2 linked regions of the Ovis aries genome follow. The protein of the gene in region 1 purifies or fractionates together with the protein of each later gene. This does not show direct contact. Links are inferred from orthologs where the notes say so. Each region holds a gene or a part of one and is shown in the gene's direction. Other genes may lie near its edges.

The links. Proteins that work in one complex are often made in the same cells at the same time.
Region 2: the proteins of PHRF1 (region 1) and CSNK2A2 purify together in Homo sapiens (affinity purification with mass spectrometry; 3 studies listed by BioGRID and IntAct, counting the BioPlex papers as one, with this or other methods). This does not show direct contact. The link is inferred for Ovis aries from reciprocal best matches to the Homo sapiens genes PHRF1 and CSNK2A2.

What each region holds. Positions count from the first base shown.
Region 1 is NC_056074.1:47,078,930-47,082,853, reverse strand, and holds part of PHRF1 (PHD and RING finger domain-containing protein 1), read left to right. Parts: coding exon 1-2,071; intron 2,072-2,200; coding exon 2,201-2,421; intron 2,422-2,602; coding exon 2,603-2,872; intron 2,873-2,951; coding exon 2,952-3,080; intron 3,081-3,924.
Region 2 is NC_056067.1:25,611,362-25,614,599, reverse strand, and holds part of CSNK2A2 (casein kinase II subunit alpha'), read left to right. Parts: intron 1-665; exon of another isoform or gene 666-780; intron 781-1,152; coding exon 1,153-1,236; intron 1,237-2,041; coding exon 2,042-2,152; intron 2,153-2,414; coding exon 2,415-2,516; intron 2,517-3,238.

The sequences.
Region 1 (3,924 bases):
ATACCAAAGATCAGGAGAGACGGCAGCCGGGGGGACGAGGGCCCCGCTAGCAGGCAGGGCGTCGAGCTCCCCAGCTCCTGCATCAGCCGGCTGACAGGCAGGGAGGGCCCCGGACAGCCGGGCTGCGGAGCCCGGGTAGAGGGTGAGCCCAGTCACCGGGGCGCGCAGGAGCCCAGCACACACTCGGCGGGGGGCCCCCAGCCCCCTGGCCCACTGGGGCCCGCCCGGGGGAAGGCTGTTGGCTCCACCTTTGAGAGTTTCAGGATCAACATTCCTGGGAACACAGCCCCTTCTGGCAGACTGCTCAGCCCTGGCTTCTGTAACACGTTCCGGCCGGTGGACAGCAAGGTGCAGAGGAGAGCGAGCCCCTCGCCCCTCTTCTCTGTCAGGAAGACGAAGCAGCTCAAGAGCGAGATCTATGACCCCTTCAACCCCACGGGCTCCGACTCCAGCTCCGCCAACAGCAGCCCTGAGCACCTGGGCCTCCTGCCCTCGGAGATCACGCGGACCATCTCTGTCGACAGCCCCAAGGCCCCAGCGCTGCCCCCCGTGCGCTGCGTCACCTCCTACACAGTGCAGACCGGCGCGGGGAAGGAGCTGGAGCCCCCCCAGGGGCCCTCCAGTCTGTCTGAGCTCCAGGACGAGGAGCCCTGCGCACAGGCACAGCGGCCGTCCCCACCGGAGCCCTGGGGCGATGAGGAGCTGCCTCCCCACAGCTCCTTCTTCGGCTCTGAGGGCCGGACAGTGACCTGCGTGACTGTGGTGGAGCCCGACACGCCGCCCAGCCCTGACGCCCCGCCTGCGACCACCCACAGGGTCGTGGAGCTGCGCTCCCCCTCCCGCTCCCGCTCCCGCTCCAGCTCCCGCAGCCGGAAGAAAGGCCCCCAGCCGAGGGTGGTCACCAGGGAGCAGCGGGCCGGCCGCTCAGGCTCCCGCTCATCCTGCTCAGGAGACCGGAGTTCCAGGTCTGCCTCGCCGCCAGCAGGCGAGGACCAGCACAAGAGACACCGGCCCAAGGCCCGGGGCCGCAGGTCATCCAGCGAGCGCTCCAGCAGCCGCGAGCGCGCCAAGCGGAAGAAGACGAAAGACAAGAGCAGGGAGCGGGGCAGAGGCTCCTGGGGCCACAGCCGGCGGAGGTCCCGCTCCCGCTCTGGGAGCTCATCCCACGAGCAGCGCGAGGGCCGCAGGAAGAAGAGGCGCCGGTCAGGGTCCAGGTCTCGGGGAAGGGAGTGCTCCCCGCCCAGGCACCCCAGGGAGAGGAGGGGGCGGCCGAGAGACCGGCGCGGCTCCCGCGAGAGGCGGCGGCGAAGGTCCAGGTCCGCCAGCCCGGAACACAGGCCCCGGGCGCACCGGCGGCCTCGGTCCCGGGAGAAGCGCCCGCGGCCACACCCCCACTCTCCTGAGCGGAAGTTGGCCCCGAAAGAGGCTTCTGCAGCACCCCCTCCCCAGGGGGAGCCCAGGCCAGACAGGGAGACCCCGGCCAGGTCCCCAGCTAGGCCCCCATCCTCAGCGGGAGCAGACGGCTTACCAGAAGGGCCCGCAGTTGACAAGGCCGCCCCAGTCCCGGAGGTGCTGGCCGAGTATCCAGCGGAGGATGTGGACTACGGCGACTCTGTGGAGGCGGGGCACCTCTTTGAGGACTTTTCCAGTGACACCATCTTCATGCAGATTGATGATATGAGCTCCCCGCCCTCCCCGGAGAGCACGGACTCCTCTCCGGAGCGTGACCTCCTGCCCAAGCCCACCGTGCCCCCAGCTGGCCCCCAGCACGACACCAGCCTGGCGGTGGCCGTCATCCGGAGGGAGGTGTCCCGGATCCACGGGGAAGACGTGGCTCAGCCCTCGCCTGGGGCCGAGGGCCCCCAGGAGAAGCGCCCGCTCCAGCAGGAAGCGGACGAGCCCACTGCAGTGCCCTGCGCCCTGGGAGCCCAGGCCCCAGGCGGGACGCCTGTGGGGAAGGAGGAAGGCCCCTCTCAGAACCCTCTGCTGCGAGCTAAGGCGCTGGTGAAGAGGGTCACTTGGAATCTCCAGGAGGCGGAGTGCGGGGCCCCGGCCGATGACAGAGGCCTGTGTGAGTAGGCGCTTTGGGGGGCGGGGAGTGATCCTCGGGTGACTCCCAGGCCGCCTTGGTCGTTGGGGGTGGGATGGCAGCACCTGCCCTGGGGTCCTTGCTCCGGGACGCTTTTCTGGAATTTTTTAGCCAGGAGGCAGTCTTGTGGCCTGGAGGGCCCCAGTACACCCACCCCCGTATGTTGGCCCCCAGGGACACCACTTCACAGGCCACAGAAGCCTCGGGAAGGAGTCTGGGAATCTGACGACGTGGGCCCCATGGCTGGGCTCCATCAGGCACCCTTCTCTGCGCTGCCTGCCCCTGCTTATGTGCTTCCAGAGCCTGGCTTCCCCCCAACTGACCCCTCTCAGGTGGGCCCCTGGGCTGGAGGGATGTGGCCTAGCACCCAGGCTACGCGGGCTGGGCTGGGCTGGGGCTGAGGCCTGCAGGCACCAGCCCTTTGCTGCCTGGGCTCTTCGGGTTCAGAAGTGGGGGTTGAGGGCACAGGGTAGTGAGTGTGTAGAGGCTGAGCAGGCTTGTGTTCTCGCCCAGGTACAGAGCCCCAGCCTGCCCCCCGGCCCAGCCCTGCCATCAGGCATCCCACCATATGCACCTATCAGCCAGCCCGCAGTCCAGTTCCTCCTCCAGGGGAGCCAGCCCCTCCCAGGCTGCGGGGCAGCCCAGAGCCTGGCCCCAGTGTCCACCATCCCGACTGCAGCCTCAGAGCCAGCCGGCCACGCTGCCGCCGCCACTGCTACCAACGACTCTGAGGAGAGGACGGCTCCTCCCAGGCCGGCCCCAGAGAAGGCCAAGAATGAGGAGGTGAGACCCTGCCCTTCCCCCAGGGGCAGGCGCGGGCCGGTAGTCCGGTGCTGAGCCTTCACGGTGTCCTCGCCCCCAGTACATGAAGAAGCTGCACGTGCAGGAGCGGGCCGTGGAGGAGGTGAAGCTGGCCATCAAGCCCTTTTACCAGAAGAGGGAGGTGACCAAGGACGAGTATAAGGACATCCTGCGCAAGGCGGTGCAGAAGGTGGGCGGGGGCTCAGAGCCCTGGGCGGGGGCGGGGGCGGGGCCTGAGGGCCCGGGGCGGGGCGGGGGGCGGGGCCTGAGGGCCCTGGGCGGGGCGGGGGCGGGGCCTGAGCCCTGGGTTGTGAGGTGGGCGGGGCCTGAGGGCCCTGGGCGGGGGCGGGGTCTGAGGGCCCTGGGCGGGGCGGGGCCTGAGGGCCCTGGGCGGGGCGGGGGCGGGGCCTGAGCCCTGGGTTGTGAGGTGGGCGGGGCCTGAGGGCCCTGGGCGGGGGCGGGGGGCGGGGCCTGAGGGCCCGGGGCGGGGGCGGGGCCTGAGCCCTGGGTTGTGAGGTGGGCGGGGCCTGAGGGCCCTGGGCGGGGGCGGGGGCGGGGGTCTGAGGGCCCTGGGCGGGGCGGGGCCTGAGCACCCTGGGCGGGGGCGGGGGCGGGGCCTGAGCCCTGGGTTGTGAGGTGAGCGGGGCCTGAGGGCCCTGGGCGGGGGCGGGGGCGGGGCCTGAGCACCCTGGGCGGGGGCGGGGGCGGGGCCTGAGCCCTGGGTTGTGAGGTGAGCGGGGCCTGAGGGCCCTGGGCGGGGGCGGGGGCGGGGTCTGAGGGCCCTGGGCGGGGCGGGGCCTGAGGGGCGGGGGGCGGGGCCTGAGCCCTGGGTTGTGAGGCGGGCGGGGCCTGAGCGCCCTGGGCGGGGCGGGGGCGGGGCCTGAGCCCTGGGTTGTGAGGTGAGCGGGGCCTGAGGGGCGGGGGCGGGGTCTGAGGGCCCTGGGCGGGGCGGGGGCGGGGCCTGAGCCCTGGGTTGTGAGGTGGGCGGGGCCTGAGCGCCCTGGGCTCCGTGGCCACACCCCACACCCCCTCGC
Region 2 (3,238 bases), on another chromosome or scaffold:
TTCTTTTGTGTCTGGGAAATGCAAATTTGCATATTCCTAGAGCACTGGTTGTATGGGTCATATTCTGGCTCATATATTCCTAGTACAGTGCCCTTGCTATTCTAATCCCAGCGGTCCTCAATCAGGCTCACTTTGTCCCTCAGAACGTTTGGCAATGTCTGGAGCCATTTTTGGTTCTCACAATTGGAGGGATGCTGCTGGCATCTTGTGGGGAGAAGCCAGGGATTCAGCAAAGCAACATGGGTAAATCTTAGGAAAATTGTGCTGCATAGGAGAAGATAAAGTACTTACATTGTATCACTTCATTTTATGAAGATCCAGAAAAGGCAGACCTGTAGTACAGGTGGTAGAGCAGTGGTTGGGAGGAGAGGAGAGGAAAGGAGGCAGCAGATAGGATTGGAAGCTTAAGGGAGTTCTTGGGATGATGAAAAAATTCTAAAACTGGATTGTGGTCATGGTGGCACGACTTGAGGAATTTACTAAAAAACCATTGACTTGTACATTTAAAAAACTTAGCTCCATATCAGTGATCTTATAGGAAGCAATTTTCTCCCTTAGAGTCATAATCATAATTTGTGAAGCCCAACTGGCTCAAGGATTGTTTTTAAGGATAATACTAATATTAGAAGACATGTTAATCTAGAAAACTCATATGGGACACTTACCTGAAAGACGAGCCGTGTTGCAGATAAGATTGGGATGTCATTTTTCATGTCCATGTGGATCCTTCATGTGTTGTTTGAACTATTATGCGAAGTGACTCCAGTGTGGTTCCTCAGTCTGGTTTTAAACACATCAAATTAAGCCAGCATATGATTTCTAAATCCAGGTGGCTGGTCTGTTGCTACCAGCGCCAAGTAGGAGAGGAATGCCTGAATAAGTATTAATATACCATCCCCCTTTTAAAGAAACTTCTATAATAGCCCTTGGTGTCCTCTCCACAGCCCCCTTTCTACCAGCTGCCAGCATAGTGTGCCCAGGGAGCAAGGGGTGCCTCCTGAAGCATGTTTTTTCTCTTTTACTACAGACAGTAAGACTACCCTTTGGGAGATTGTGTTCAAATCAAGCTGTCACAATGAGCATATACTTGCACTGGGGGGCACGGGTGGTTGAGGGTTTGCTTACTTTTCTCTGTGCTTTCTCATCTAATAGGCTCTGGATTACTGCCACAGCAAGGGAATCATGCACAGGGATGTGAAACCTCACAATGTCATGATAGATCACCAGCAGAAAAAGGTACCATTACAGCCAGGCAGCAACAAGCCTTCATTGGAAGGCTCGACCCGAACTCTGGCCAGTACCTAGGTGGTTTCTATAGACCCATGCTGTTTCCTTTGGCAGACTTATGACACTGTTATTTCTCCAGATTCCAGTGTTGGTTTCTACTTCACATAAGTGTAGCACACAAGGAAAGTAGACAGCTGACCCTAACTGTAGTCGCTTGTCTGCTATGGTCATGGTTTTCCTAGAGGGCCTCAAAAAGAAACTACAGCTGGTGATTTTTACTTCCTTTCTTAATGACCCTCAGACCAATCTGCCTGGCCTTAAAAGTACACATGGGGCCCTCCTGTTTTTGAACCTCAGTTCTGATTGCCCCTGACTGGTGAGTAAATGAATCAACTAGTGTTAGATTAGTGAAGAGCTAGAGTAGTGCTTCAATCCTGGAGTGGGGCACATGTCCCCAACCCTTTCTGTTACGACTAGAGCTTGTAATGGAAACTGTTGAGTAATGAGGGATGTGTTAACACTTGCAGCTGGTTATGGGCACAGAAGACAAGCTTAAGCTTTATTGATCTAGAGAAGTGATAAGCCAGGATAATTTAAATGTTAAGGAAAAACAACTAAGATTCCAACCAAGTGCTCTGCTCTAGAAATGACCTCTTAGCAGTTCCCAGAAGGTACATGTGCCTTTTTAAAAGCCAGTGCAGTTGATAACATTTTTTATGTGGCCAAAGATTATCAAATGGGATGTGGCCTTGTTGTAAGACAGAGGCGTCTGGAGACACTCCCTTCACATGCTTTGCTTCTGTCATATTTATAGCTGCGACTGATAGACTGGGGTCTGGCAGAATTCTATCATCCCGCCCAGGAGTACAATGTCCGAGTGGCCTCCAGGTACTTCAAGGGACCAGAGCTCCTTGTGGACTACCAGGTAAAGCTGTTAATGAGGCATCACTGAGTTCTTCTTACATTTGCTTAGGGCTTTTCCTGGCTTTTTCTTTTTCCTGGTTTTTATTTATAGTCAGTTTGGTTACATTCAAAATCCAGTCTATATTCTACCCCAAAATGATAAAATGATAATGATGGATTTGTCTCAGCTACTTTTTTTGGTTTTGAATTTTAAAATAGCTATAGAAGATTAGAAACTCAGGTCAGAAAAATGACATTTGTAACCCCCTTCTTTATTTCCATAGATGTATGATTATAGCTTGGATATGTGGAGTTTGGGCTGTATGTTAGCAAGCATGATCTTTCGAAAGGAGCCCTTCTTTCATGGACAGGATAACTATGACCAGGTAAGCAAACACCCATCTGACTGCCATCCATTTTGGAGCAGATGCCAAGAAAATAGCATCCTGATAGGAATGCTGTTGTTGAGCCCCTAAATACCACTCAGTGTAAGCTTTTCTTCAGGGTAAAGAATTTCACAGAATCTTATCTATGGTCCCAAAGATAGAGACAGACAGTGCTGTGTTATGCCCAGCTTTCCAGCTGAGTCTATAAAAGAGCTAAGTACCTCCTTGTACAAGATTCTAGTCGTTCGGTTTTGTTGTTTGTTTGTTTTTAGGCTGTGCTGGGTCCTCATTTGCTGCACATGGCCTTTCTCTGATTGCAGAGAGCGGAGGCTACTCTGTCACTTTGGCGCGCGGGCTTCTCATTGTGGTGGCTTCTCTTGTTGCAGAGCACAGCTCTAGGGCTTCCGTAGTTGCAGTTCCTGGGCTCTAGAGCACAGGCTCAGTAGTTGTGGCTATGGGCTTAGTTGCTGCATGGCATGTGGGATACTCAGGGACCAGGGATCGAACCCACGTTCCTCGCACTGGCACGCAGATTCTCAACCACTGGACCACCAGAGAAGCCCATAGGTGTTAGGTTTTATGTCCCCATAATCACCAGCTTCTAAAAGATTATTGTCATAAGTTGTGTTATCCTTTTAAAGGCATTTTGAAAATGTGCGTTCATGTGAACTTCATGTCCGTGAGTCTGCTGCCTGTCTGCCCTGGGCTCAGATCTGTATCTG